4 linked regions of the Pelodiscus sinensis genome follow. Each later gene encodes a partner of the first gene's protein in a complex. Links are inferred from orthologs where the notes say so. Each region holds a gene or a part of one and is shown in the gene's direction. Other genes may lie near its edges.

Region 1 (7,964 bases):
AGGGTACGAGGGGGGAGGGAACAGGCCCCTGGCAGGAGGAGGGTACGAGGGGGGAGGGAACAGGCCCCTGGCAGGTGAAGGGTACGAGGGGGGAGGGAACAGGCCCTGGCAGGTGAAGGGTACGAGGGGGGAGGGAACAGGCCCCTGGCAGGTGAAGGGTACGAGGGGGGAGGGAACAGGCCCCTGGCAGGCTGAGCAGGCCTGTGGGAGGGGGAGAACAGGCCCCTGGTGGGCAGGTGCGATACCCCCATCTTGAGCCCCTCCTCAGCCCCCATTCTCATACTCTCCACCCCTGAGTCTCCTGTCCCCCCTCCCACATGCCCAAGGCCCTGCCCTGAGGGACCCGGGCAGCACAGGGTGAGTCTGCTAGGGGAAGATAATAAGCAGGTAGGTAGTGGTCAACATGGATTTGTCAAGAACAAACCAACCTTATGTTCCTTCTTTGACAAAGCAACAAGCCTTTGAGGACAGGGAGAAGCATTAGATGTGACAAGTCTCCTGATACGGTCTCACCTGCCTTCTCCTCAACAAACTAGAGGAACGCAGCCTAAACGCACCTGCTGTAAGAGGGATGCACAAGGCATTATAAAAGCAACTGAGAGTAGTCACAGCCAAGCTGGAAGGGCAGATTGAGTGGGGTCTCAGGGATCTGTCCTGGGGCTGGTTCTGTTCAATTTCTTCAGAAATCATTTGGATAATAGGGATGTCAAAACCCCATTCAATTGGTTAAACACATTGTTTGCCCAGTTAACCAATTAATGGGGGGAGTATGTGGGGGAGCAGTCAAGCCTGACCGAGCTGGAGTGGCCCCCCCATTTCAGGAAGGGGTTGCTTCAGCCCAGCCAGAGCAGCCCCTGCCTGAAGGACGCCCAGGCCCGCCACGACAGGTTAGTCTCTAAGGTGCCACTGGACCACTCGTTATTAAATCAACAATGTAATTCTTCTGCAAAGAAGGAAGCATAATTCTTGGATAAATTACCAGAATGCTGAAAGCAAGACACAAAAAATAATTCTTCCACTCTAGTCAGCCTGATAAGGCCGCAACTGGAGTTTTTTGTTCAGTATTGAGCACTTCCCTTCAGGAAAGATGTGGAGAAACTCTAGAGGAGAGGAACAAAATTATTGAAAGTCTAGAAAACACGGCTTACAAGGAAAGACAGAAAATAATGGGATTGTTAGTCTGGAGAAGACAGAAGGGGGACATAATAGCCCTAAAGTACGTAAAAGGTTGTTTAAAAGACAAGGGTTTAAAGAGTAGGTTGTTTTAAGAGGATAAATTGTTCTCCCTAACCACTAAAAAAACACATTTTTTAAAAGGGCTTATTGTACTAGATGACACATCAAGGCACCCTCCAGTCCTACATTTCCATGATTCTGTGATCAATATGAAACTTTTATCCTAACGAAAGAATGTTCGATTGTTACATTCCCAAGACTGTGACTCGCAAAGAAACCAAAATCCTGCAAACCTGAACTCTTCATAGGATGCCACCTTCTGGTGAACGGCTCGGAACTTGGCATCATTTTCTCTTTGGTACTTTTCATCAGCAGCAACAGCAGCCTGCAGCTCTCTCTCTAATGCACAAAAATCTATTGCTTCAGCCTCCTCCATTCCAAAGATCTAAGAGCAAAACATAAAAACCACAAGAGTGACTTTAGTGCATAAGCATCACACAAAGAGAATACAGTACTCCTTTCTCTTTCACAGCCACCCATTTCATCCCCAGAATTCTTGCTAGACTTACTGTAAGTAACTACTAGAGTGTGTCATGTGCTAATGATCCCACCTCAGTCAAGCAAACTCCTGTCTTAAATAACCACTTGAAAGGATGCCCAAGTCTCCAGTGCAATTTTTAATCTGTTGTTAAAGACCAACCTCTACTACACAAAGTGGTTTTGTTCTGGAGTCACAGTTTGTCACATAAAACAGGTGTTATTGTGTATTGCTTGATCATCACACTCCCTGAACATTAACTGAAGGCTGCTGTCACACAAACTTTGCTAAAATCCCCCACTAAGAATGTGGTGGTTAATAAAGTCTCAGGGGGCAACTGTGTTCATCTGTATCTGTGAAAACTAGAACTCCTCCTGTGAGCACCTTGAAGACCAACAGATTTATGTGGGCATAAGCAGCCCAAAGAAATCTGTTAGTCTTTAAGGCGCCAGAGGACTCCTAATTGTTTTTCAGTTAATAAAGCCTAAAAGTTTACAAATCGGCAATAGGCATGTGGGGAGAGTGTAAAATATTCAAGGTCAGATTCAGATGCCAGTAAATAGAAAGCCCTATGTGCCAGGCAGGAACCTTTCCTCTTGCTGAGTAGCACAATACTCTGCAAATCTCCTGTTTCATGGCAATACTCCTGGAGTGAGGCCCTTCCCAAAGTACACAAGAGGGTAAGGATGTTAAATACTGGTTAATTTACTAGTCGAGTAGTCGATCGGCACTTCCGCATTCCTCCTTTGAAATGTAGAAGAGCCCCTGCACTTCCGCATTCCCCAGTGGAGGCTCTTGTACATTTCAAAGGGGGAATTCGGAACTCTGCGTGCAGCCCAGGGCCAGCGGGAAGTCCTGCTGACTCCGGATTGCGTGCAGGCGCTTCTGCATCGAAATGCACAAGAGCAAAAGGGGGAGGGGAGGGCAGCTTTGAACTGTACAAGAATCCTCAGCAGTGGCTCTTGTGCATGTCAAAGCAGAAATGCCTGCACAGAGCCTGGGGTCAGCAGGGGACTCAGGGTTACTTTGAAATGCTGCACGGAGATGGGGTCAGCTGAGGACTTTCCAGCTGATCCCGAGCTCTGCGTGGCATTTCCAAGTAATCCAGGATCAGCTGGGGACTCCCCAGTGGACCCCAGGCTCCGCGTGCTTTGAAATGCTGCATGCGGAGCCCAGGATCAGCTGGAAAGTCCCCAGCTGATCCCGGGTGCCAAGGAAATGCTGCGCGGCGCCTGGGTCAGCTCTGGACTCCCCAGCTGATCCTGGGCTCCGCGTGGCATTTCAAAGCGGCAGCGCCACGTTTTGTTTATCGAATAGTTGACTAGTCCTTAACATCCTCACAAGGGGGTGCAGCGTGGCACCCAGGGTTTAAGTTCAGGGTGCTGAAGGAAGAGCTGGTGTAGCTGGAAAGCTTGTCTCCTGCAGCAGCAATGGGGGGTCCAATAGACAAACTTTCAAGCCACATGGAGCACTGGGAGGAGGGGGCAGGGGGTGGCAAGCTGAGCATCTGCTCCCTGTGTCTGGCATCCCTCACGATCCCCTCCAGGCCCCCCAGCCTCCCCCCATCGCCCCCTCCAGGCCCCCCAGCCTCCCCCCACATCACCCCAGCCTCCCCCCATCGCCCCCTCCAGGCCCCCCAGCCTCCCCCCACATCACCCCAGCCTCCCCCCATCGCCCCCTCCAGGCCCCCCAGCCTCCCCCCACATCACCCCAGCCTCCCCCCACATCACCCCAGCCTCCCCCCATCGCCCCCTCCAGGCCCCCCAGCCTCCCCCCACATCACCCCAGCCTTCCCCCATCACCCCCTCCAGGCCCCCCAGCCTCCCCCCACATCACCCCAGCCTCCCCCCATCGCCCCCTCCAGGCCCCCCAGCCTCCCCCCACATCACCCCAGCCTTCCCCCATCACCCCCTCCAGGCCCCCCAGCCTCCCCCCATCGCCCCCTCCAGGCCCCCCAGCCTCCCCCCACATCACCCCAGCCTCCCCCCACCGCCCCCTCCAGGCCCCCCAGCCTCCCCCCACATCACCCCAGCCTTCCCCCATCGCCCCCTCCAGGCCCCCCACCCTCCCCCCACATCACCCCAGCCTCCCCCCATCGCCCCCTCCAGGCCCCCCAGCCTCCTCCCACATCACCCCAGCCTCCCCCCACTGCCCCCTCCAGGCCCCCCAGCCTCCCCCCACATCACCCCAGCCTTCCCCCCATCGCCCCCTCCAGGCCCCCCAGCCTCCCCCCACCGCCTCCTCCAGGCCCCCCAGCCTCCCCCCACATCACCCCAGCCTCCCCCCATCGCCCCCTCCAGGCCCCCCAGCCTCCTCCCACATCACCCCAGCCTCCCCCCATCGCCCCCTCCAGGCCCCCCAGCCTCCTCCCACATCACCCCAGCCTCCCCCCACCGCCCCCTCCAGGCCCCCCAGCCTCCCCCCACATCACCCCAGCCTTCCCCCCACCGCCCCCTCCAGGCCCCCCAGCCTCCCCCCACATCACCCCAGCCTTCCCCCCACCGCCCCCTCCAGGCCCCCCAGCCTCCCCCCACATCACCCCAGCCTCCCCCCACCGCCCCCTCCAGGCCCCCCAGCCTGCCCCCACATCACCCCAGCCTCCCCCCACCGCCCCCTCCAGGCCCCCCAGCCTCCCCCCACATCACCCCAGCCTCCCCCCATCGCCCCCTCCAGGCCCCCCCGCCTCCCCCCATCGCCCTGCAGAGGCGCCCAGCGCCGCTTGCCGCGGGGGGCCCGTTAGCCGCTCGCTGGGGAGGGGGGGGGGGGGGTTGGGATCGATCCCCCTTCCCGCGCCTCGCCACGGCCCACGCCGCAGCCCGGCTTCCTGGCGGTCTCCATAGCAACGAGCGGCGCGGCGCCGAGGCCCCCGGCTAGGGCTGTCCGTGCCACGCGCCTGATCAGATCCGGCTCCGCCGAAACGGCCCCGGCCCCGCGGAGCCAGCCGGACCCAGGCCTGCGACCCCCCCGCCCCGCCCCACCCCGACCTCGGCCTCGGCGCGGGCTGCAGCGGGAATCCCAGCGGCCCGTTGGGCAGGCGAGGGGCCAGCCCCGGGTCCTTCCGCGCTGGTGTCGCAGCGGCTGCCGGGAGGGAGCGGAAGGCGCGGAGCGCGAGGCGAGGAGCAGGGGCGGCCGGAGGCGGCGGCGGGTGAGTGGGGCCGGCCGGGGGGGACTAGGGGGCTCTGGAGGGGGCGGGGCGCTGGGGGGCCCTGGGGCGGGTGACGGGCGGGCCGGGGGGGCGCTGGGGGGTGGGGGCGCTCTGGAGGGGGCGGGGCGCTGGGGGGCCCTGGGGCGGGTGACGGGCGGGCCGGGGGGCGCTGGGGGGTGGGGGCGCTCTGGAGGGGGCGGGGCGCTGGGGGCCCTGGGGCGGGTGACGGGCGGGCCGGGGGGCGCTGGGGGGTGGGGGCGCTCTGGAGGGGGCGGGGCGCTGGGGGCCCTGGGGCGGGTGACGGGCGGGCCGGGGGGCGCTGGGGGGTGGGGGCGCTCTGGAGGGGGCGGGGCGCTGGGGGCCCTGGGGCGGGTGACGGGCGGGCCGGGGGGCGCTGGGGGGTGGGGGCGCTCTGGAGGGGGCGGGGCGCTGGGGGCCCTGGGGCGGGTGACGGGCGGGCCGGGGGGCGCTGGGGGGTGGGGGCGCTCTGGAGGGGGCGGGGCGCTGGGGGCCCTGGGGCGGGTGACGGGCGGGCCGGGGGGGCGCTGGGGGGTGGGGGCGCTCTGGAGGGGGCGGGGCGCTGGGGGCCCTGGGGCGGGTGACGGGCTGGGAGAGGGGGTCTCGTGGGGATGGGGTGGCCGCGGTGCATTGTGGGATGGGCACTGATTGCTCAGGAGGGGGCTCGGAGGGAGGTGACGTGGGCGGGGTGTTGGGCGGGCTGGGGGGGAGTAGGGGCGCACTGGGCAGTTGTCAGATGTTTCATAAATAATTCAACTGGCAAGGGTGGGGGTCGGGGGCAGGACTCCGCTTCGTCCCTGGTGCCGGGAAACCGTTGCCCCAAGGAGTCTCGTTACACGTGACTTTCTCTCTCACGGTAGCATCATGGACACAGACTTGTATGACGAGTTCGGGAATTATATCGGGCCAGAGCTCGACTCGGATGACGACGACGATGAACTGGGTAGAGAGTCCAAGGATCTTGATGAGGTGCAGTGAAACTTGTGCAAAAAGCCTTCGTTTATCATAAATGGCACCAAAATAATGTAAAACTGAAATGAAAGTTATTCTGGTCTTAGTTGTCCTCCTCCCGTTCTCCTGAAGTTTAATCAAGACTGTAGTTATCCACAGACATCTGATGCAAGCTGAAAAGTAATTACAAGTTGGACCTCTCTGGTCCGGCACCCTTGTGACCTGACCCGTCCCTCATCCCTGACAATGAGGGATTGTGCCGGACCAGGGGAGGTCATTTCTGGCCCCCCAGCCCTGACCTGGCTGATGACCTCCCAGCCTGCTCACCCCTTGCCGTTGGCATCGTTACCCTGTCAGCCCCACTGTGCTTCCAGGCCCAATTGGGCAGCCCGACTGTCAGCCCACAGGGCTTTAGGCTGCCAGCTCTTCATTGGAACTCTGGTCTTGGAACATCTGTGGTGTGATGTTGCCAGACCAAAGTCCCGATTTAGAGAGGTTCAGCCTGTATTTCTTCTGAGTCAGTGTCTCCTGGCCCCAGAAAATGTAAGTAAGTGAGAGAGAAAGAACCCAACACCAAGCTTACTTAGAGTTTTGAAGGAAAATGTTTATGTACTATTAAATATTCTGATTTAATAGATTTACAAAAACAAAGTATATAAAAATATAATAAAAATAAAAAATCTACTAGGCTGCCCTGTTGATAGCCAGAAAAAGACAAGGAATTTTGTCTTGAACGTGGGACAAAATAAGAAACTTACTCTGTTTTAAGTGAGTTTCCCCTTTACTGGGCACATTCAAATAGGATTTTCATGTTTTAAGCAAGAGCTGTAGACTATCGCTCATTTTTACTGATACTTTCTGGTGTCTCCAAGTAAGAGAAGTTAGCCCCAAGACATGACATGTTCATCATATGGTTTAAAGCACGTCTGGGAGGCATTCAGAGTCTGGTGGTGAGCTTGGTGTAAGAACATTTAGAGAAGCGAGGAATGTGAATGGTATTTATGAAAAAAGAAACAGTGGTATGTTTAGCAGTGGTGTTGAAAATTTCTTTTTCACTGAATTTTTGGTAGATCTTCAATGATCTAAGAAATTGGAACTAATCACTGCTATTCTTTTAAAGCAGGGGTGTGGAACCTGAGGCCTGGGGGCCGGATGTGGCCCCTGGCTTTCCTAGATCCAGCCTCCGAGGCTTGGGGTCCCCCTCAGGGTTGGGGTCCCCACGCTAGTGCTCCAGCCCCTTCACTATTCCTCCATGGGGCTGGAGTGCACAAAACTGAACTACTACATCTACTAGCCTGGGCCCCCAAAGTTCTGGCGTGCAAGGGGAATGTCTTTCTCATTCTCAGTTGAGCCACATCAGTGAGGATTGGTTTGGTTTGGTTTGTTTGTCAGGGGCCCCTATCCAAAAAAGGTTCCTCACCTCTGCTTTAAAGAAATAGAATTCCTTATGGTGTGAGTATTTATATGTACATGTAAAATAGTCATTATTGTACTGGTGAAATCACAGCTCCCACACAACTGGGATTTGGGGGTTTCATGCACAGGGTTTGGTAGCTTCACTTTGATGTGGTGTGTCCATGGGTATGTTGTGTACTGGGTATTACTATCGATTGCCTGCCGTGTAAGCATCACTTGCATATGGCGTTGGGATCTGTTTTAAAGATGACCTGCTGCTCATTGTGGCTATCTGAAATGGATTCCAGGTGGGAAAATGGCCTCCAAACTGAAAAATGGGAAGCCCCTCACAACCTTTTTCTGGACCTGACTTTGAAAGGTGCCTGATACAGAAAGACTGGGGCCTGCACTGCAGTTGGATATGATCTAGATCAGGGCTACTCAACTTTGGAAGCCCCGGGGACCGCAGTGATACTCCCAGCACATGCCGAGCGCCGCAACTTACGTGTGGTTGCATATTTATGCAAATAGCTTCTTTCACACTGACAGGCATGAATACAAAGATTAAGGCAGGACTACACAACACGCAGGCCCCATCTAAGTCAGTTCTGCTGATATTAATGAAATGCAATAGTTACCCAGTTTCCACCCATATGACTGCAATTTTAATGAGCAATGACAGTCCAGGAATTTAACTACTAAAATGCATCTCAACAGAAGACCATTCTGTTGACTCCTTTT
Region 2 (7,044 bases), on another chromosome or scaffold:
GTAGCTCAATTTGTGTAGCTTATTTCGCGTCAAGCCCTGCTGTGTAGATGCACCTCTAGTGAATACTGATCCTATGTATAGTGGTGCAGAAAACTGGTGCAGAAAACTGGAGAACACTCTAGAAAGATGATTGTGATAATTTTCCATTACTTTCTTCTCTCTTTTTACAAATATACATATTCCCATTCCATTAAAATGTTAAAAGGTATCTTGCTTGTGTTGACAAATGCCTGTGCTGCCCCACTGCACAGAGTTAAATTTTACCAATATCCACACTATTATTTTTATTGTAGTAGTGGCTAAGGCCCTCATTGTGTTAGGTTCTGTACACAATAGAATTAGAGTCAATCCTTGTTCAGGAGAGATTGCAATCAAAATATAGATGACAGACAAAGTTAGGGGAAAAAGAAAGAACTCATAAGGAGAATGAACGTTTATAATAACCATGAATCAGTTCTGACTGTAGGGGCTTATTCCAAGAAACAAAATGGCTTACATACTAATGTGGATGAAGCAGCTGCTGTACTTGAATACACAAGGAAACTATTTATCATATGGATTTTTGACTGCTTGGTAGAATTCTTAGGCAACTATGTTGCCAATGCTCAATATAATTGGTGGTCCTGGAGTCATCTGAATACATGAAAATTTCAGCATTCACTTCAAAAAATGTAAATTTCTAGCTCTCATGGTAGAGGAGAAAAACAAATATGATTCAGTGAAATCTAATGGCTCAAAATATCACAAGAATCACAATTTTAAAATCTCATTATTTTAATCTAATTTACAATTGTTAGGGTCTGAATAATGAATTGAGAATGTTTTGGGTTGGCAATACTGTACACAGTAGCCTGTACCATACAGTAGGGCTCCTCAACTTTGGAAACCCCAGGAGCCACAGTGAAACTCACAGCACATGCCGAGGGCTGCAACTTAAGTGTGGTTGCATATACATGTAAATATATATGCAAATATATGAAAATAACTTCTTTCACACTGACGGGCATGAATACAAAGATTAAGGCAACACTACACAACACACAGGCCCCATTTAAGTCAGTTCTTCTAATATTAATCAAATGCAATAATGATTTGCACAAGAGGGCTTTTGCCCAAACGGGAGCAGCATAGTATTTCCGCAAGAAGCATTGATTTCTTACAGTAGGAAGTCAGTGTTCTTGTGGAAATTCAAGGGGCCAGTGTAGACAGCTGGAAAGTTTTTCCGCAAAAGCAGCTGATTTTGTGGAAAAACTTGCCAGTCTAGACACAGCCAGTGTGTTTAGAGATGAGTTTTAGACTGGTGCAAAATAGAAATGTTAGAGTTCTGTCAAGATAAAGATTAGAATACTACCGTTCTAGTACCTAACTGAAATGATTAATATTAGTGTTTTTAAACAGACAAGACTTCTTTGTGGAGAGCAATTTTAAGTTTCTTTACAAATATTTTAAACATGAACATGAAGACTGCTCTATTAAATAGTTTTTAAGGATAAGATTTAAAAACATAAAGAGAGGAGATAATAAGTTGTTTTCTTCTGTCATAAGTTGCCCTGCTGCAGAGAAACATTGTAGTGGATACTGTTCTGACAAGCTCCTTCTATCTTAGACTGACCATAAAAAAATTAAACTGAGGTTTCCTATAGAGGGTGATTTAAATGTGTTTATGCCACCATACAAGTTCTGCTGTGGCTGCATGTATTTAGGACAGACAGCTGTTTCCCTCAGCTCTGTATTAGCTGTGATACTTTACCTGGGATGAATGACATAACAAGGTCCTGGAAGAAAGGTGAGAAAGACGGTGAGGGCAGGAGAAATCAAAGTATAGCTGCCAACATAATCTGCTTGATTTTAAGATGTTTTATTACCAAAATGAATGAAAAAAAACATAACTTTGTGATTTTTTTTTAATTATCCTTCAGTAATTCTAAGAAGGTTAAATTCACCTGGCAGACTTGTCTGCTGTATTTTTAGCTTCAAACACAAACTCAGCGCATTTGTTTAGAGAGGATTTTATTTTCAAAGTAAAGGCTTTGGAATACAGAATGTCCCTGCAACTATGATAGTTATCTCTTTCTGAGACATTTAATGTGTTCTTTAAACAGATGCTCTCTCTCAGTCCCATGTTTCTTAAATTGCGTTGTTTGAAGCTTTTTTCTATGGGTTACAATAGATGCTGTGACCTCTAGTGTGAAACTTCCTTTAAATACGCATGAATGCTGGGGAATAGATTATCAGTTTCTAAATGAAACTAAATTACTTTATTGTTAAATACTGATTTAGGGTCTACATTTTATTATTACATAATCTATTACGTAATGCTGGGAACTAGGAAAAAAAGGTGTCATCAGTATGAGTATTAATTGTATTAGTCACACTTTGTGAAACTATGACTGCATTACATAGGGTCATTGCAGATAGCCTTTAGCTTCTCTCTTATAAACTCCTTCACCTGAGTGTACCGTCCTTCTGAAGTCAGTGGAGCTAAGCACTGGTGTAGGAGCCAAAGAAGGCTGCCTTGCAGGATCATGGTCTTTATCTGCCCTTATGCTATCATGTACATGCCACGTATGTTATAGAAAAACTACTTTAAAAATGCTTCCGAGAGTTTTAATAAAGCTAGGTATGTACATCTAGCAGCACAGCTAGGTGTGTACATCTAGCAGCTTTATAGGAAAATTAAAAACTGAAATAACATATGCTAGCCCCCCCCCTCATAAATTTCATTTAAAAATCTCTGATTTTTAAAACTAATAGTTTAGGCCCTTTCAGGGTTATAAGCTGGGAATCTCTCCATTCCTCTGACAAAGCTCCTGTCGCTAGTTGAGATGCACTGCTAAATATCAAATCTCAAACATGTAACTGGGCCAGTGTAATATTTTGGGAGTGCAGGCTAGATTTAGAGATAGGTACCATGGCTCCCTTGTTTTTATGTTAAAATATATCATAAGCAATTCACTTATGGAAAGGAATCAAGATTTGGATAGCGAGGAGGAGAAATGGGAACTTGTAGAAAGAGCTTTACACAAGATTATTCAGTAAAGAAAGATCTTCCAGCTCGTACTCACAGGGGCAATGTACGCACATTATGTGGTTACGTGAGTTGTAGTGTCATCATAGTGTTTGGCCAATTATGTACATATAATAAGGCTTTCACAATGTGTATTGCACCATGGGACATCCGGAGGAAAAAAAACCCATGTAATTAACAAGAGGTTTTATTAGCCATGCATAACGAAGAGGTGATAAAATCTGTGCAAGTAATTATCAAAGAATCCTGTTAGTCAGTAGCCATAGAGGCCTGCTTGCAAGAAAAATGCATAATCTTTTGCAATATAATGTATTTTCCAACTACGACTGGAAATTCTTTCCTACCCTAGGCCCCACATTATTCTAACATATTTCAGGCTGGTCTCTGGAGAAATCTCAAGCAATTTATTTTCAGGAACATCTTTGGTACTGTATCAGCAGGACAACAAAACCAAAAATAGTGACATATCATGTGTGGGCTCTTCTGTCTCATGCAGGACAAATGGAAGGCTTTATAGCTTTGAGGTAGAAAATCACAGTATTTGTCTTTCTCCATTGACCTAGCTGTCTCATATGAGAACATTGCTATAATGACCTGTACTATGACACTTTTATAGCAGCAACCACTCATGCTGATTTCTGTATTCAAGTACAATTCTGACATCCAGTGGCCACTTAGAGTCCCTACAGTGTATTTCAAAGTGTTTTTTAATGTTTAAACCAATAGATTTTGCAAGTAAATATTTATTTATACATTGAAGTAGCCCAGTTACTTCAGGGAATCCATATATGGAGAACTATAGTCCCTTACTTATTCATAATAAATCTTGTATAAAAATAATTTATTGACGCTTTATACTAGTGAGCACACTGACAGTTACAAGTTTAGGCCAATACCTTTAATATAATATTATTGTAAAATATATGCTTAAAGATTAATGTCAGTAATTCAGGATCTCATATACCCAAACTAAATACTCAGTCAATCCTCTTTCAAGTTAGTAACAAAACTCTCCTTGATTTCTATGGCTGTAAGATCAAACATAAAATAGTTCTGTAAAGTAGATTTGATAACTCGGGTGATAACATTAGCGTATCTGAACTCGTATAATAAAACCAGGCTATAGAATATCTAGAGAACCGCATATGACCAGTAGGCACAGTGCCTAGGGCCCACAATACTTTTACAGGCTCATGAAAATAATTTTAATTTTTTTTAAAATCAAAAGAAAAAAAATGAACTTTTAGGGTTGAAGATAATATTTTAATTTTTTTCCTCACATCAGAAAAAAAGGAAACTTTCAGGGCCCACGAAAATCTATTAAATTTTGCCTAAAACAGAAAAAAATAAAATGTTGAAGTATTTAAAGTTATATCAAAAATATTTTTAATTTTTTTTAATGGAGGAAGGAGCCCACTAAAGTCATAATGCGGCTCTGCTCCCAACCGTCTACTTGAATCAGTTTTTAAAAGGGGTGCGATTTCACTCCCATGTTTGCTTTAACACAGATTAAAGCTGGTCCTCTAGGGCACAGCCTCTACCAGCTGCTCAGGCTCTTTCCGAGGCAGAACCCCATTCCCAGGGAGTCTCACGCGGAAGAGGCAGGCGGGGCGGGAGGCCCCTTTGGCCCCTTGCAGTTTTCGAACCATTTCCTCTGTTCCAGGGCACCACGTCATTCTCCGCTAGTGAACCCACGAGGGGAGTAAAACGACGGACACGTGGGCGCCCGGGGGCAGTTTGCGCTGCACGAACGCGCTGCGCACACGCGGCGGTGTCGGGACCGGGCTGGGGGCGGGGCCGGGAAGAGCCACGCCCCCAGTGTCAGGCCGCAGACAGGAACGAGGCGGGGAAATCAGCAGGCCGAGCGACAGGCCGCATCCCCCTCCCCTTCGCAAGCGCGGGGACTACTGCTCCCAGCATGCAACTGGGGCCGCGCTAGCGCGACAGCACATGCGCCGCCCAGAGGCAGCCGAATTTCCCTCGTATTTCAGCTGCGAGCGATCCCGACATGCCCCTGGGCGACCTGCACCTCAGTTTCGTTGTTCTCCTGCCAGTGCGGAAAAGCCGGTGAGTCATGGAGGCAATAGCTCCCGGGGGACATTACGCATTTCCTTCTACGCGTCACTTCCGGCCGCCATTTTGCGCTAGAGCGGGGAGAAGCCTGGGAGCAGCCGTTGGTCCGCGCTGCCCGGGGTGTCGCCTGCCGCCGCCGCCGCCATGACGGACCGTTACACCATCCACAGCCAGCTGGAGCACCTGCAGTCCAAGTACATCGGCACGGGGCACGCGGACACCACCAAGTGGGAGTGGCTGGTGAACCAGCACCGCGACTCGTACTGCTCCTACATGGGCCACTTCGACCTGCTCAACTACTTCGCCATCGCCGAGAACGAGAGCAAGGCGCGCGTGCGCTTCAACCTCATGGAGAAGATGCTGCAGCCCTGTGGCCCGCCCGCCGACAAGCCCGAGGAGTCCTAGCGCCGCCGGCTCTCTACCCAGCCCGGGACACTCCTCGCGCCCTCCCCCTCCAGCCTATGGACCCGGCCCGGTTTCCCCAGCACTCGCCCGCCCGCAGGGGAGCGACGCCTGATGGACGCGGGACGGGGTGAGGACGGATTCCAGGAGGAGCGAGAGGAAGCTGCCTCGTCGCTTCCGGGCTGAACTCTTATTTCCTCCCCGCTCGCGACTGGCCTAGGCATTGCCCCGCCGCCTCGCCTCCAGCAGCGGCCGTGGGCTGGGCGAGAGACTGGACTGTGCCAGCCCCGGGCCGGGGGAACCTGGACCATCTGTCGTCGCTTCCCGAGGTGGGACCTGGATACGAGGAAAGCCCGTTCTTTTGGACTCACTCCCAGCCTGGCCCGCTGCTCCTGTGGGGACTCGGCCTGAGCTGGAGAGACTCGCCCATTTCTTGTGGAGCAGCTCTGTTTACGATCCCTCTTTGTTTAGTGCTGCGGTTTTTTGATATGTGAAATAAAAATGCGTTGAGTTCTTTCAAATGTTGCTCCTGGTGATTTGCCTTTAAGATAACTTATGGCTCAGTAAGAGAACGAGGGACCAGTCAAGCTACAGCAATGTGCATTTCTAGGGTTTTCGGGTGTGTTTGCTTTGAAGCTTGAATCATGGTTTTCAAAAAAGGCATTAACTTCAGCTATTTCCCTATCCTGCATTTCAATCATATTTGTTTACCAACGTTCAAATACCTTGTAGTTTTGATGGTGCTCCAAAAGATTAACTTGAGTCATCAATGTATTGTGCTAGTAAAATGCACAACAAAGTAACTTTGCAGCATCAAAATTCTTATTGTTTAAAGTCCTGCTCACTAATTAAGTACTTGAATGCATACAGTAAGAAGTGAGTAAAACACTGCAGGGAATCTGTGAAAGGCTAAAACTTTTTTGCTAAAAGACTGCTATTAGTAGTTTATATAAACTCTTATCCATTTCCACAAGAAGCAAAAGTCAAACATTTTTTCTGTCTAGACCTATTAATAACGTTCATGGTTTTGTTTGGAAAGAGTAAAGTACCTAGAAATCCAGTGTAGGCGTCTTGGGCAGAGATGAAATGTTGGGTCAACAACTTGCAGGTATACAGCTGTTTTCTTTACTGGCAGTGTGAATTGTGCTGCTATTGGCTTGTTTCATCTAACTTGAATATCATCGTGTTTGCAACAGCAAGAGCTAATAGTTTGATCCGGGGAGTGTGTGGGGGGGGGGGGGGGGGGGGGGGAGGGTAGAAAGAACCTTAAAATACATGTAAAGCTCTTTTGGGAACTGGACTGTAATGGCCCTTTTTTCTATCACAAAGTTGAAATGTTGGTATGTCTTAGTTGGATAAGAGGGAGGATTTGTACTGTGTGTCTGTAGGGGCTGCATCATCATCTACCTTCTGCAAAATGTAAGACTGAAGTTAAGGTTTGGCCATTCTGTGAAAAGAATTACATCCTTCAGTTTATTTTACTGTTTTTATTCAAAAGCTTGAAAGAATATTTGACAATGTTAATGCAACCTCTCTGAACT
Region 3 (8,318 bases), on another chromosome or scaffold:
GGGAGCAGGGAGGTGACAGGTTCACTGGGAAGCCTTAACACTTAACCCGTGGGGGCTGGAGCTGCTTCAGACCCATTGGGCCTGCTGTGGATAGGTGCCGCTCTGGCCACCCAGAGCAGCCCTTGTCCGCAGTGGGCCCTGCCTGCAGCGGAGAAGGGGGCTACTCCAGCCCTCTTCCCCACCTGGCCTTTAACTGGGATTTTACATCCCTAGCTGGGAGGTGTGCAATATATGCACGGGGCTCTCCAGTGAATGGGGTGTGTGTACTGTGAGATTTGAATGGCTACAGGCAACAGCTTTGGAAGAGTCAGGCCTCTGGCTGCCCGCAGCCCATTCCCAGCCAGCTTTGTTTCCGGCTCTGCAGGGGCACATGTTTCGCTGCAGCGCCGACTGCTGCGAGAATGACAAGGCCTCCATGCAGCAGGTGCACCACTGCATCGAGCGGTGCCACGCGCCCCTGGCCCAGGCCCAGGCTGTCGTCACCAAAGAGCTGGAGAGATTTCAGGTGAGGAGACAGTGACCGATGCCCCAGGCCAGGTTCCATGGGGCCCTACAGCAATAGCATTGGCAGTGGAAGTCTCTTGGAGGCCTCAGCTCCCCGAGGAATCTTCTTCTTGTCCGGTTTAATCTCAAGCCCTGTGCAGAGGTTTGCCGTGGACACATACGGGTTTGGGAGGTGGGGCCAGTCGGTTCTATGCTCAACCCCATTGCAAAAGTAACCTGGATCAAAGGGGACGTACCAAAGCAGGGACTACGTAATGTAAATGGGGCATCTCATGTGGGAGAAGAGGAGGCTGTGAGTGAGGGGAGTATTGGAGAACCAAGGTTGTGCTCTGTGTTCAATCCAGGCTCATTAGGAAGCACAGGGTTTGAAAGCGCAGGACACCAGAAAGGAGAACCTCCTGCAAAGAGAACGTGCCTTTTTAGGGTAGATTTTCCAGTGTGAAAGGGGCAAGTCTGAAAGCGAGCAGGCTGGAGGAGTAGCTACACACACACCGCCACCCCCTAGGGTTTGATATTTGGAGGGGAGCCTAAACAAAATGAGTTTGGAGTAGGGAGGTTAAATTTAATTTAATCCACTAATTGACTAGTTGGTAGATTTTTCCATCGACTAGTCAATTGATCAATAAGCAGGGGAGCCGCAGTGGGGTTAGTTCCTGCTGCGGCTCTGCCTTTTAAATGTATGAAGAGCCACCAGGCTGTGCTGACTCTGGGTCTCCCCCCGGCTGCATACCAGCCATAATGTAAAAAGGCAGGAGCGCAGCGGGGGGACCCAGCGCGAGCTGGGAATCAGCCATCCTGGCTCGCACACAATGGTGTTTCTGATTTTTAAACTTAAGAGCCCGTAGGCTCATAATACATTTAAAAATCAGAGGCGCAGCGTCTGGGACTGGACGCAAACTGGGAATCAGCTGATTCCCGGCTTGCACGTGGTCCCCGCTACCCTCCTGCTTTCCCTGCCCCCTGTGGAGACGGTGCTGCGGGGAACCGGCTCCTGCTGTTCCCCCTTGCTGCCTCGCATAGTCAACTAGTCACTTACATCCCTAGTTTGGAGGTCTCATTGCAAATGATGAGAGAAACTTCCAGATTGCAGCTGGTTTCATTCTTCTTCCAACCATTCCCTCCATTATAAATAATTTTGTTCTGTGTTCTCCAACACATGATGTCCACCTCTTAGATAGCAGGTTAAGAGCTCATTTTTCCCATGTCTGCACTTCCTCCCAATACACTTTCCACTTGCTCCCAGCCATTTGAACCTCTAAGTGTCTGGAATTCTCATTTGCAGGACCGCTTGGCTCGCTGCACAATGCACTGTAACGACAAGGCCAAAGACTCCCTGGATTCAGGGAGCAAGGAGCAGCAGGTGAAACAGCAGCTGGAGAGCTGCGTGACGAAGTGCGTGGACGACCACATGCATCTCATCCCCAGCATGACCAAGAAAATGAAGGAGACTTTGGCAGCTATTACACAATAAATCTGAGTTTGTTTTGGGGGAGAGAGGGAGAAGCATAGCTTCTATTAAGAGAGAGACGTGTACACGGAGATTCGTGTTGGAAATTGAAGCATGAAAATGGATGATAAGGGTGATTTTTGTATTTTCAAAGTATTGCAGTGGTCCATTCAACAGCTGGTTTGAAGTGTTGGTGTCTCGGGTTGATTTGAGAAGTGTCACCAGGTGTGGAGAGGACAGAGTAGTGACTTTGCTCCAGTCCTCAAAGGGTTAATGGTTAGTGTATGTATAGACCATGCTGCTAATAGCAGGATCCTCTATTACTTGATAGTACCTTGACTTACTTTGGTTGTAGTGAATTTAGGGCTGCTGGAAGGCACCTCCAGCTGGACAGGCCTGGAGTGTGAGGGACCTTTGTCCCTGGGACAGGTGCAAACTTCTCCATTGCTGCCTAACTAATATGCCTCAATAGTTCCCTGCAAGTGTTAAGAGTCAGATATAAACTGGTGTAGTTCCATTAGTGTCAGTGGAGCCATGCCAGTGTAAACGCTCTGAGTATCTGGCTCCAAAAGTCCACTCTCCCGTATTCTTGGTGGTGATGTGATGGGCAGAGGATCTGAAGTATAACTACCACTGGGTTTGATACCCTAGAATTCAAAGGGCCATAATTCTTGCCTCACTTGTTCTCTGGGCTATTGTGATTTAAAAAAAAATGCTTTGGGGACAGGATTTTTCCCTCCTCAACTGCCCTCATATCTGCAGAACTGATTGTCTAGCACTGACAGGTTCCCCCTGTCCTTCTAGTGCAAGTGCCTTTATGTTAAAGGAGACAAGAGGAAGTCAGGGAGACTTTTTTTTTTTTGCACTGGTAGGTCAAGTTTCTGCAGTTAAAACATCTTGGGTCTCTGTTGCCTCTCACACTGGCATAAATCAGAAGTGATTCCAATGGAATAAATGGAGATATGCCTGTGTGTGAACCTAGTGGAGAAAAAGCCCTTTAACTTCACCTGACCTCATCAGGCCACCAATCCCGTCATATATAATTCTACAAAGAGAACAAGGTCAGCCAGCTAAGTGTGGGTTCTCTGAAGCAATGAGTCACAAAGAACATGGCCTATTGAAAAGGAATGGCCAATACTACATAATGCTCCACTCATGCTGATTTTACATCTGTATTACTCCTGATTTGCAGTGGTGTAAGGAACAGCAGCATTCAGCCTGAAGTCTATCATTAAGAATTATAGCAGCTGTATTGTTCCATGCAGTGGGGCATAAATGTGTCGTCGTTTCCCCCCCCCCCCCCCCCCCGAGCCTCTGAAAAACAACCACCGAAGGTTTTAATAGGTGGAATCTCTCCTCCTTTTTGACCTGATAACTTTTTGACTTAACGCGCAGAGAACCTGTCCTTGATTCTCCCTCATGCTGGTATAAATCAGGAGTTTGCTTAAGTAAAGAATTGATAGCAGTGTTCAGTGCACTACCAGATTCTGTGTGTTGTGGTGCAGTCTTAAGGTGGATTTCAGATCTCATTCTTCCTCAAGCTGCAGGGACAGGGAGCAAGACAGAGGAGGTTGGTTTGAATGCTGGGGCAAGGTTAAGCTAGTCATGGATAACCATTAATAGCTGCCTCAGATATGGAGCTACTCGGCTACAGGAGTAGGCAATTCTGAATCTGTGGTCCTCAAGGGAAATGAACACAATACAGAGAGGTAGTCACCACCAAAATAAAAAGGGAAATGACATCCAGAAAACAGCAGCACCACCTGGTCCTGTCCTTGTGGCTGGAGACAATGTAATGAATACCTTAGGATGGTTCTATTTATTGTGAGCTGAGAGTCCTGTTTTGTTCCTTCTCATGAACAACTGTAATTAACACAACCATTTTGTTCTGTCCTTTTAAAAACGGATTTATTTTCTAAAAGTTTGATTCAAAAATAAATTTTAGATGATAACTCCTCTGAGTTCTTTCTTACGACTAGGCTCATCATTATGGCTACACTGCGAGAAGTGCTAAATGTGGATTTTGTGTATTCTACTGTGTTTTCCTACCTTGAGCTCTTCGTTTTGTATTATAGTTGGAGCTAGTATGTGTCTCAAACACTGCTAACATTTAAAACAGCTCTAGTTCCAACTCCCTGCTTTGGAACCAAAGAGCCAACCTTATTATTAATCCTGTTTAGTGCCTAGGGAAGCAATGCCAAATGGTGTGCTAAGGACTGCACAAATGGAATAGTGGCATCCCAACGGAACAGTCCCTGCCTCAAAGAGCTTACCAGCTAAAAAGTCAAGACAGGGAAAGGGGTGGCAGCAAACGTATGGCAGGTTCCTCCTGGATTGAAATCGGATTATTTGTCAGTCACCACTTTCTTGTGTAAATCGGAGCCAGATCCAAACTCCGCACATGTGGCAAACCTACATTTTGCGTCTACACGTTGTTAAACGGGCCGAACCAAAACAGCGGATCCAGCCCCCTGGAACGTGGTCAGGGCAGGTTCCAGCGCCAACGCGAACTGAAAAGCGAACCCAGAGGGTCGCTACATGCAACAAGCGAGGCCGTATTGTCTAGGGGAGCCGCGCATTCACATTTCAATGAGTCCGTATTTAGGCAGCATTGGTAACTCCGCGGCCGACGGGCCCCTGTGTGGAACCGGCTTTGGCATTATCTGCTTCGATCTGGCTCCCGAGCGGCCACTGCTTCCCCGGAAAAAGGAGATTGGGCCTCTATTCTGTGGAGTACGGCGGAGGTGAGCTAGGTGCCCTCCTCCATGAGGCGCTGCTGACGGGGAGAGAGGAAGCGGCACGGCCCGCATTGGCTGTTGGGTCAGTGAGGTCATCCGCAGAAGATGCCGGAGACCATGTTGATTGGCTGGCTGGTCTAGTGATGTCATACGCAGGCGCCCGATTGGCTGTCGGGGTCCCAGCACGCGGCTTCGGCGTCAGCTCTGATTGGTGGCTGTATCCGGGACGCGGTGACGCCAGAGGCTGGGTTCCGCGCGGAGGAGCGGGAGGCGGTTGTGCGGGGCTGACTGAGAGGGCACCATGAGTAAAGCGCACCCGCCCGAGCTGAAGAAGTGAGTGCGGCGGGGCGGGGCGGGGCGGGGCGCAGAGCGGAGATCGCCCCGCCGAGGGAGGGGCGGCTGGTCGAGGGGGGGGTGTAATTCCAGTAGGACCCACCTTAATTGCCTACTCCCCCAGTATCCCGGCATGCACCGCGCTGCCCAGTGAGGCCTGCCCGCGCGGGGTGGGCGAGACCCCTCCCGTGGTGTGCACATGGCTGCGCCCCGCCCCGCGCATGGGCGTAGCGACCCCGCCCGCTCAGTTCCGGGTGCCCCGCCCCCTGCTGAGCCCGGCACTCGGCGCCTCCCCTGGCCATTGGCGCCTGCGCACAAACCACGCGGCTGCCCGGGACCGGCCCATCTGCCGCGTTGTGGGGGGGCTCTGGCACGCCCCCTTGCGGCCCCCTAATGCGCTGCCTCCTTGTGCTTTCAGATTCATGGACAAGAAGCTGTCACGTGAGTTATTTGTGTGCGCGCCTGGATTGGTTGTGAGCAGCCGTCACGCTGCCATTGGATGGGCTGGGAGCAGCACTGTACACGTGGGTTGTTTGCCAATGTGTGTGTGATAGGTATGACACACCACTAAACAGACATGCTATTCTTAGTATTGAAACAATACACGGTGGCGACGGCTAGACTGGCAGGATTTTCCGCAAATGCCTTTAACGGAAAAGTTTTCCGTTAAAATCATTTGCGGAAAAGAGCGTCTAGATTGGCACAGACGCTTTTCTGCAAAAGCACTTTTTGCGCAAAAGCATCCGTGGCCAATGTAGACGCGCTTTTGCGCAAAAGAGCCCCGATTGCCATTTTCGCAATCAGGGCTTTTTTGCGCATAACAAATCTGAGCTGTCTACACTGGCCCTTTTGCGCAAAAGGACTTTTGCCCGCATGGGAGCAGCATAGTATTTCCACAAAAAGCACCGATTTCTTACATGAGATCGTCAGTGTTCTTGTGGAAATTCAAGCAGCCAGTGTAGACAGCTGGCAAGTTTTTCCACAAAAGCAGCTGCTTTTGCGGAAAAACTTGCCAGTCTAGACACAGCCATTATATCTAGTAATAGAGATGTAGCTTGCTGAAACAAAAGACAGGACTATGCAGCAAGAAAATTGGCATGACCATATGTACCAAAGGGATACAATCCAAAAAAGTGCACGCACATAAAATTGACAAATCTGATTTTAGAACAGAGGGCGGGTGAGGGAGGGAGGTTAGTGTCTATGAGATAATGATATTAAAATCTGATTTGTCAATTTTATATGTGTTCACTTTTTTCGATTGTATCCCTTTGGTATATATGGTCATGCCAATTTTCTTCCACAATTTGATCTGAGGAAGTGGGTCTGGCCCCACGAAAGCTCATCACCTAATAAACCATCTTGTTAGTCTTTAAAGTGCTGTATAGTCCTGTCTTTTGTTTCACATTATATCTGTGGATGTTGGGAGGTTAACTGAATCAAAGATGGTTCTCCCACAATGCCATTTACCCCATCAGGTATCCCCCAACACTTTGCACCATTGAGATCAGCTTTGTCATTAGAAAATAGAAAAGATTCAAAGGCAAAATATATTGAGCTGCCTAGGAATGGTAAAATGTGGGTAATTGTGTAACCCCTGAAAAAATTCAGTGGTTATACCCACCCACAACAGCAGTTGGCTCCCTGTGGAACTGACTGCCGCCTCTGTGCTAATAGAAAGGCAGCAGCGCAGGTTGGCAGCCAGCTCCCCAAGAGTAAGGGTGGGGGGCTTGCATGTAACCGTGAATGTTAACCAATAAGCTCAGGCTTATCTGTTAACTGCTTACACAGTTACACCTTCACATCCCTAGTATTGCACTGGTAGTGGTTCTTCATGTACCAGTATTTAGAATGCTGGTATCCAAAATAAAGATGAAGGTGCAGAACAATACGTTAAGAAACTGGTACCTGCTAGTGTGTTGGATTTTAAGCCAGGTCTACACTAGACCTGACTGCTCGGTTTAAGGTACGCAACTCCTGCTACGTAGACTACGTAGCTGGAGTCGGCTTAGCAGCGTCCCAAGTAGCGGGAGGCCAACAGAAGCAAAGGAGGAATACCGGATGCTGGCAGGGACACCCTCTGCTTGATTTAGCAAGTCTTAAAGACTTGCTAAATTGAACTCCAGAAGGTCGATCATGGCAGCAGTCATCTTCCTTTTAATAATGACTCAATGATAAACATAAAGTTTTGTCACTTGTGAAGTCATGTTATAAATAATGGTAGTTGAAATGTGTATCTTTGGAGCACATTTTCTGTATAAAGTGCTGCAAGATTTTTGCTTCCCACAAGAAGGATGTTTTGTCTTTAGACAAGATCTTTGGCTAATATTTCTTGAAAGATTTTAAGACAAAAATGGGTGGGAGAGTAGTCAAAAAATTGGGGTCCACCTGAAATGCTGCTGTGTTATTTTTGGTGGTGTTTTCCAATGCAGTTTTAATAGAATTGTGCATCTGAGTGTACAGTAGGAAAGAATTATCATGGAGCTGAATAATGTGTTTGGGGCCATGATAGGTGGCTGTTGAGTTGCTGTGTTTATCTCTGTTGATTAAAGTAATACACGAATGACAAAAATGGGATTGCAGTGCTCCAAAACATGCAGATATCATTGGTTTCTGATCTCCAGTGATGACAACTATGCCGTTACTTTTGTTTACGGTCTCGAAAGTGGCTGCATACGTAAATACATTTATATGATTTTACATACGCATTTATGACAAGAATGACTAAAAGTATTGTGTAGATCTTCAGTCTCCTTCAGTAATAAGAAATATGGTCTTGTCCAAATGACTGTATCTCTACAAATTCTTGTCATAACTAATGTATTATTCAGGTTGTATTGTGGTAAGGCCTAAGGACCCCAATAATAGGCTGGGATCCCGCTTTAAGCATTGTACAGACCTATTATACAAATATTTCTGAATAAGATGTTCTGGAAGGGGTTACAGAGCAGGGAAATCAGTGGTCAGCAGCACACTAACTGCCTGACTACTACAAAATGTTAATCTTCAACTCCTGCATGTTGAAGATTATAATATGAGACATTGTCGGCCCACATTCTTCTAATATTGACTATCTAGACTTCCCCATTATAACACTGCCTTTTTTTGTGATATGAAGCCTGTGGTATGGGGAATCCTAATTCCAATAATAAACTGTGGTCCTTTAACATGCAGTATGATGAAATAGTATTTCAAATAGGGATGTAAAATCCTGCTTAATTAGTTAACTAGTTAAACATTAGGTTGACCTAATATTTATCCAGTTAACTGACAAAAGCAGGATCTGGGCTGGAGCA
Region 4 (7,561 bases), on another chromosome or scaffold:
AACCCTCCGCCGTTTTGCAAGGAGGCGGAGGAAGCCCCACGCAGCCGCCGGTGACAGGCCAGCTGAGGTTGCAAGCGGTGGCAGCAGCAGACTTGGGGAAGCGGCGGAGCAGAGCAACTGGGGTGCTGCCAGGTTGGCGGCGTTGCGGGACCAACCCGGCAGAACCCCAGCTGCTCTGCTCCGCCGCTTCCCCAAGTCTGCCACCGCTGTTTGCCACCTGCTTGCAAGAGGCGGAAGCAGCGGGGCAGAGCAGCTGGGGTGCTGCCGGGTTGGTCCCGCAGTGCCGCCCCTCATCTAGCCCCTCTCCTCCGTCACTGCTTGCAGCCCCAGCTGGCCCGTAGCAGGTGGCTGCATGGGGCTTCCCCTGCCTCCCTGCAAAATGGTGGACATCTTTATACTGCCTTCATACTTACGATAGCCACACTTCTTGCATCCTGCCCTTATGTTATCCTTATTTCCACCTGAAAACAAACAAACTTCTGTTTATGTTCTAATTAGTAACACACAAAATTGTTTCTTTTTATCCTTTATATTTGATTTAACATGGTGTCAAAGTGCATATGCATATTGCAGTGGCTTCAGGTGGTAGCTGAGTTAGTCTGTTACAGAAAAAACCAGCAAGCAAATGGTCTGCTAGCACTTTATAGACAAACAAAACATGTAGATGGTATGAGCTTTCGTGGGCACAGCCCACTCCTTCAGTCTATTAAAAAAATCTGTAACTAGCTAGTCTATTGTCTGGCTAGGCCAGAAGGATAAGATACAATGGATGTGATTTAAATGTCTCGGAGTACCCAGCAAATTAAAGTTTATGGTGCATATAATTCTCTAATCATTTGCATATATGTGGGGACAGCGCTGCCCCTTCCTCATTCTGGTTCTTAGCAATCCCACTGCTGGGACATCTCATCCTCTTCCAAAAAGAGGGGGCTAACTCCCAGTCATACCAGTCTCTAACCACCCATCTCCATTCCTTTAAATACCTTCTTTAAATTGTGTTTAAATTTATTTTATTGGATCACTTTATCAATTCCCTATTGGAGTACCTGTACTGAACATCTGTGACAGAGGCTCCAGCAATTAGCTTGACTGTCTTCCCTCACACCTAGCCCAGTTCCCAGAAATCTATTGATGCCTTCAATATCAGCCAAAAACATATCAACTTCTAAATCTGCAGGTGAACCCTATATTGTCCAATATAGTATGGCAGGATGAGAAATCATCAACTCCCTTATGCCATCTATGATTTTGGCCCCCTCTCTGTTCTCATACTTCCTACTCTTGTCAACCCATGGAGGCTTCACAGCTTCCTGCCAAACCCTGTGTCACAACATGTCCAACCAATTAATTTTTACTCCTGGGAAAGTTCTAGGATCTGCCCCAAGTCCCTCTTAGATCTGAACAATGAGCCTACCCCTTTACAGGTTCCCCAAATCATTTCCCCCAAGGTGAATAACAATCATATCTAGTGCTTGTTCACAGGCCATCTTACTATCAGGAGCATCACCTGTTCCCACAACCAGTGTTCCCTCTAAGATGCACAGGCAGCACAACTTCACAGGTGATGATTAATCAGTCAGCTCCATGCACAGAGCCCTGAGCCTGGCTCGGTGGGGCTGATTAATCACCTGTGAAACTGTGCTGCCTGCACAGCTTAGAGGGAACACTGCCCAAAACATGTCCCTCTCTCACTTTTTAACTTATTTTGGTAAGAAAAAGCATTGAGCCATAATGCAAAGGGAAACAGAATACAACTGTGTTACAACATCCCTAAAGTCACTTTTCTACCATGTATCCTATCACCATAATCCTGATATTCTATGTTAAAACAATTAGTGCCAAGTACTTTTTGTACTTGGCCACAGGTTGGTTTCAGGCATCCCAAAAGGGGCAGGGCTTCAGGTGGAAGGGTTCGTGGCTAGAGAAAGAGAGACTGTGACACAGACTGAGAGTGTGTGACAGTGACAGAGTGTGTGTGTTGGCTGCTGCTGAGTAAGTTCCTGAGAGAAGCTTTACTTTGTCTTTTTAAAGCAGGGGAAACTGCCCTGCTCTGTTGTTGTCCATCCACCCCCTGCAGAGATTGGGTATGACCCATTTACAATTGCTAGTAGCAAGTAGGAATATTAAAAAGCAGGTAATTGGGTAACTCTGTAACTGCAGAAAAGTTTCAGTGGTCTGATTGCTGCATTTGTGGTCAGAAAGCAGCTCTCCTCCATACCAGACAGCATGGGACAGAGATCACTTGTTGAGTTATATTAATGTACTGATGAATTCTTTCAGAAGGGCAGCCATGTTAGTCTGTGTTTGCAAAAACAATGAGTCCTATGGCACCTTAGAGATGGGGGCTACATCTACCCTGCAGACTCTTTGCACAAGAACAGCTGTTCTTGCACAAAAACTTGTGAAATGTCTACACTGCACGTGTGTTCTTGCACAAGTAAATTTACAGTAAAACATCAGAAAAGAGAACTTCTTGTGCAAGAGTTATTCCTCTCCCTACAAGGAATAATCCCTATTACGCAAGAGCTCTTGTACAAGAAGGCAGTGTGGTCAGGCAACAGGGGTTTCTTGCACAATAAACCCCTATGGCTAAAATGGCCATCAGAGCTTTCTCGTGCAAAAGAGCATCCACACTGCCATGGATGCTCTTGTGCAAAAGCACAAGGCAGTGTGGGCGCACTCTCGTGCAAGAACTCTTGCACAAAATAGTTCTTACACAAGAAGTCTGCAGTGTAGAAATAGCCTAACAGATTTATTAGGACATAAGCGTCCACAGGTAAAATCCTCATCATCAAATAAATTGGAGTGGTATTTACCAAGGCAGGGGGATATACACAAGGGCTGTGTCTACACTGGCATGAATTTCCAGAAATGCTTAAAACGGAATACTATTCCGTTTTCAGTTTTTCCGGAAAAGGAGCATCTACATTGGCAGGCTGCTTTTCCGGAAAAGCCCTTTTTCCGGAAAAGCGTCTGTGGCCAATGTAGACGCGCTTTTCCGGAAAAGAGCTCCGATCGCCATTTTTGCAATCCGGGCTTTTTTCCGGAAAAGACTACTGGGCTGTCTACACTGGCCCTTTTCCGGAACAGTGTTCCAGAATAAGGACTTATGCCCGAGCGGGAGCAGAATAGTTTTTCCGGAATAGCGGCTGATTTTGTACAGTAGAGCATCGTTGCTTTTCCGGAAATTCAAGGGCCAGTGTAGACAGCTCGCAGCTTATTCCAGAAAAGCAGCTGATTTTCCGGAATAAGTGGCCCAGTGTAGACACAGCCAAGGACAACTTAAGAAAGAGGATACTTGGGTAAATGAGGCTAATCAAGTGTTATGTGACATCTTTACATTATGATTCAAGGACTTCAATAACGTACAGGCGTGGGTGGATTCTGTAGCCTGCAAAGGTCATGCCAGAGGACTTGATCATGATGAACCCTTCTGGCCTTAGCTATCAGTATATAACTATCCCCCCCCCCCCACCCGACCCTCCGCGAAACCTGGGTTTCTTCCTTCACTCGGCTCGTGGCCACTTCCTTTCTAGGCTGATACCGGCCCCCACTTGCTGCCCGGCTCTTTTCAAAGCTTCACTGCGTTGTCTCCCCCTGGACCTTTGCCCCGAGCTCGTCTCACCTACGGGCACCCTCCCAGGACGGGTCCGGCCCCCCAAGAGCCACCGGAGGTTTCGGCGAGCGGAGACGATGGGACGCCCTCACCACCCAGGCTCCCGTCCCGGCCTCCCGCGCCAGCGTCTCAAGGGTCTCCTCGGCCGCCCGCTGCCCCCACGCCGGGCCAGAGCCCTCACCTGGCAGCGCCATGAAGCCACGAGCCCCGCACGCTCTCCCCGGGCAGAGCCGGACGCAGGCCCGACACCCGAGCGTCCCGGCCGGAGGGCTTTGGGCAGCGCACACCGGGCCGTACCATTAGGCGGGGAGGGGAGGCGGGATCACACCACGGTGTCAGTGCGGGGGATGGAGGAGGCGGGTCGCTGGGGGAACTCAGGCCTAGGGCGCACGACGGAGGCGTTTCCCAGAGCGGGTGCTGCGGCTCCGCGTTTGGCCTCTCGCTCCTGCTGCCTCCCCCCGCGCCGCGGCGCCAAATCCCGGGGTCCAAGATGGCGGGAGGTTCGCAGAGCTAGTCGGGGTTTCAGCAGCGCCAGACCAGGAGCGAAATCGGAGTCGCCGGGTCCGTGCCCGCCCCGCCACCAGCATGAGCAACATCTACATCCAGGAGCCTCCGACCAACGGCAAGGTGCGGGGGGGGGGGAGCAGAAGCCGCCGCCAGGCCCCTGGGGAAGGCGAAGGGAGCGGGAGCCCGACGGGCAGCGCCGAGAAGGGCCCGCGGGACTGTTCAGTATCAGTTAATTGAATAGTCAAGAAACCGCATCAATTCCTATTGTTACTGGCTATTTGATAGTCCCCCGGGGTGGGGCCGGCAGCCAGCGCACTCCAGCCCCGCTCCCAAGGAGCCGTTACCTCGGCTACAGAGGCGGCCGCAGCACAGGGTGCCAGGTGGGAGCTGGTCCATGAGGGAATCCGGGTTAAAAACCAGCTGCCCTCGGAGACCAGCTGCCTGCCCTGGGCTGCTGCCTCTGGTCTAGGTGGGGTCAGAGTTCCCAGACCTGGTGCAAAGCAGAACTGAGCTTGGCTGCTTGCTTGCCTGCCTGCCTAGCTCTTAATACACTTTAAATGCAGAGCTGCAGCGGGGGTAGGTCATGGACTTGGTGTGAGCTAGGATTCTGGCCAGCCTGCTAAAAAATTTACTGGCAGGGGAGGAGGGAAATGCGTGTAATATATAGCATTAACCAGTAAGCTTTTACTTACCAGTTAATTGGTTAATTGGCTACACTATTGCATCCCTAGAGCTGCTGCACCTCCTGGCTTGAAGCAGCCATAACCAACAAGTACATGGTTTCCATCATCGCCACCCACACTATAAAGTGGTTCCATCTAGGAATGTAAAATACCATTCAGTCAGCTAGCTAGATAAATATTATGTTTAACCAGTCAACCGCATAAATGGGGGCGGGTGTGGGGGGAGCAGCTCCAGACCAGATGTATTGGAGCCACCTCCTGCCCCATTCACCATGGACACATTGGAGCAGTTAGGCTGGGCTGGCTGCGGGTGTAGGTTGCTCCAGCTGGACTGGAGCGCCCTTGCCCACAGCACGCTGCTCTGTTAACCATTCACATCCGTAGTTCCAGCACTCCTACAACTATGTTACAGTTGTTGGCAGGTGCAAGTTAGCTTAGCGTATTGCCTGTGTGAGCATATAGTCCTGTGCTTGCATTCTTGATTGCTTGCCTTGGCACTGAACATATGCATGCAGAGTAGTTGGGTCAATGCAAAGTGTGGTGACTTGCATGTAGGTATTCCAGCCTGCAAACCAGCGCTGAATAGTGAAAGGGTGAGCAATAAGACAGTGGCAATTCACCACAGTTAGCCCAGGGCAAGCCGCCAGCCCTTTATTTACCTGCATGTCCACAGGTACGGCCATTTGCAGCTCCCATTGGCCCCCGATCAGTGTTCCTGACCAATGGGTGCTGCGAGAAGTGGTGTCGCAGTCCACGCTACTTCCTGCAGCTCCTGTTGGCCAGGATCAGCAATTTGTGGCCAATGAGTGCTGCAAACATCTGTACCTGCAGCTGCACAGGTAAATAAAGCATCAGTGGCCTGCCGTGGTGAACAGCGTCTGGCCTGTGAGCCACTCATTGCCCACCCTGGTCTAGCACAATACCTTTAGGGAAGTTTTCTCCTATGGTGGGATAGAAATGATGCACACCGTGATTTATGGGAGATAAGAGTAAAGTTCCCAGTATGCAATTTAGAATAATTTGGAACTCTTGGTAATATGGAAGACATAGTACATGGATTTGTAGCAATGGGATTCCAAGGCTGTGATATACATTAGACAAATCCCCATTTTGATACCAGCTTACCTTGCTATAGAGTACAGCAACAGAAAGGACTACTTTTTTGTGATTATGCAAGCAGATCACTAGGGGAACTTTACTGACATCAGTGTGGGGTGGGTCAAGGGGAATGCATGATGCTTATGTCCAGGGCTCGACAAATAATACAATCTACTGGTTGGTGACCACTGCCCTAAACACTTCATATATGAAGTGTGGGGGTTGCTTCTGAGCATATACTTACCACAGGATCCAGAGGCTTTGAAGCCTGGAGACCTTGGCATGCCCTGGTGCCAAAGGTACATGGGAAGGAGAAGATCTCTCAACTGAATTTTAATCTCTCTAAACAACTAAGGACTGTAACTACTATTAACTCACTGACGTTAACAACTGTAAAGGACTACGAAAGAGTAAATAGGCTGCTTCACTTGCAAACAAGAGAATAGGGGAGTTTCATCTCTCACTGATGGTAAGAAGGAATTGAGGAGGCTTTTTGTTTTCTTTACTACTAGAAGACTTATCTGGCATTGCCCAGGTGCTTCATTGCAGAGGGCTCATGGAGTGTGGGGGTCCAGGAGTCAGGGTAGGGCCTTGGGGATGTGGGGAGCTCAGGGCATGAGGCTGGAGGCATGGGAGTGTGTGAGAGTGAGCATTGGGTGGATGAGGCAGGCTCAGGACAGGGGGGCTCAGGACAGAGTGGCTGCTGGTTTCTCCTCGTGGATAGCCCAGGGCACCGGGTACTACAAACTCCCTCTGCTGGCTTGTCCCCAGGGCAAGCAGGGGCTCGCTCCTTCCCTCCTGGCCCAGCCAGGAGTGGAGGGTGTCTTCCTCCCCCTAGATCCTTCTGGGATGGCAGGGGCTCTTTTCTTCCCCTATGACCCTGCCCAGGTCATGGGGGGACTCTCTCTCTCCCGTCCTGGTTCCACCCAGGGCAGGGGGCTCTCTTCTTCCCCTCCTGGCCCTTCCCGGGATTTGGGGGGCTATCTCCCTTTCCCCTGATCCCTCCTGAAGCAGGGGGTGCAGCAGGGTCTCTCTTTCTCTCCCCCTTACCGCATCTGTGGTGAGGGAGTGAGGGTGGCAGGGGCTGTCTCCCTGGCAGGAGGGCCTTGCTTACCTTTTCTGGTGGCAGGCAAAATGTCAGAGCCTCAGCCCTGCTGGCCACTTCCTTGGTATTATGGCTGCCCCAATGGACACACTATAGCAGGAATGGACAAAAGAGCCAAGTTGATCTGGCCCATGGAAGCCCTGCCACTTCCCCTACCCACAGGTCAGTTAGGGCCTGGATGTGGGGGAAGCACATGAAGTCTCCTCCCACTTTGCCCCGCCCTGCAAGGAGTGTGTGGCACTTAGAAGCGCTGGATGTTTCTGGCAGTGTGGGAGGAGACACTGTGTGCTCCCCCACCCCCAAGCTTTATTGGCCTGGGGGCAGGGAGAAGGGAGTGAGCAAAGTCTCCTACCGCCCTGGGAGGGGCGTGGTGCTTCTAAGTGCCACACCCTGCTCCCATTCTGCAAGGAGACTTCGTGCACTCTCCCCATCCCCAGGCCAATTGGGGCTTGGGAGCCGGGAGAGCACATGAAGTCTCCTTCTGCCCTGCAAGGGCCTCAGCACTTAAAGTCAATTGCCAGCTGCTACTCAGCTGACTGTTGACTCTAAGCA

Evidence for each region.
Region 2: EFTUD2 (region 1) and SF3B5 share a complex: the UniProt entries of both Homo sapiens proteins name them as parts of the minor spliceosome. The link is inferred for Pelodiscus sinensis from reciprocal best matches to the Homo sapiens genes EFTUD2 and SF3B5.
Region 3: EFTUD2 (region 1) and SNRPG share a complex: the UniProt entries of both Homo sapiens proteins name them as parts of the minor spliceosome. The link is inferred for Pelodiscus sinensis from reciprocal best matches to the Homo sapiens genes EFTUD2 and SNRPG.
Region 4: EFTUD2 (region 1) and CWC27 share a complex: the UniProt entries of both Homo sapiens proteins name them as parts of the minor spliceosome. The link is inferred for Pelodiscus sinensis from reciprocal best matches to the Homo sapiens genes EFTUD2 and CWC27.

What each region holds. Positions count from the first base shown.
Region 1 is NC_134739.1:148,636-156,599, reverse strand, and holds the start of EFTUD2 (116 kDa U5 small nuclear ribonucleoprotein component), read left to right. Parts: upstream 1-4,700; 5' UTR 4,701-4,859; intron 4,860-5,737; 5' UTR 5,738-5,741; coding exon 5,742-5,846; intron 5,847-7,964. Other genes in the region: DNAAF19 (Ig-like V-type domain-containing protein FAM187A), read right to left, coding at 1,470-1,623, 3,053-3,221. UniProt on the Homo sapiens protein: Required for pre-mRNA splicing as component of the spliceosome, including pre-catalytic, catalytic and post-catalytic spliceosomal complexes. Component of the U5 snRNP and the U4/U6-U5 tri-snRNP complex, a building block of the spliceosome.
Region 2 is NC_134713.1:102,061,404-102,068,447, reverse strand, and holds SF3B5 (splicing factor 3B subunit 5), read left to right. Parts: upstream 1-4,898; 5' UTR 4,899-5,245; coding exon 5,246-5,506; 3' UTR 5,507-6,024; downstream 6,025-7,044. UniProt on the Homo sapiens protein: Component of the 17S U2 SnRNP complex of the spliceosome, a large ribonucleoprotein complex that removes introns from transcribed pre-mRNAs.
Region 3 is NC_134738.1:2,089,663-2,097,980, forward strand, and holds the start of SNRPG (small nuclear ribonucleoprotein G), read left to right. Parts: upstream 1-4,887; 5' UTR 4,888-4,990; coding exon 4,991-5,022; intron 5,023-5,440; coding exon 5,441-5,463; exon of another isoform or gene 5,464-5,521; coding exon of another isoform or gene 5,522-5,576; intron 5,577-8,318. Other genes in the region: protein FAM136A, read left to right, coding at 290-505, 1,787-1,975. UniProt on the Homo sapiens protein: Plays a role in pre-mRNA splicing as a core component of the spliceosomal U1, U2, U4 and U5 small nuclear ribonucleoproteins (snRNPs), the building blocks of the spliceosome.
Region 4 is NC_134716.1:91,047,608-91,055,168, reverse strand, and holds the start of CWC27 (spliceosome-associated protein CWC27 homolog), read left to right. Parts: upstream 1-4,061; 5' UTR 4,062-4,201; coding exon 4,202-4,243; intron 4,244-7,561. Other genes in the region: uncharacterized protein LOC102460411, read right to left, coding at 414-461, 3,798-3,810. UniProt on the Homo sapiens protein: As part of the spliceosome, plays a role in pre-mRNA splicing. Probable inactive PPIase with no peptidyl-prolyl cis-trans isomerase activity. As a component of the minor spliceosome, involved in the splicing of U12-type introns in pre-mRNAs.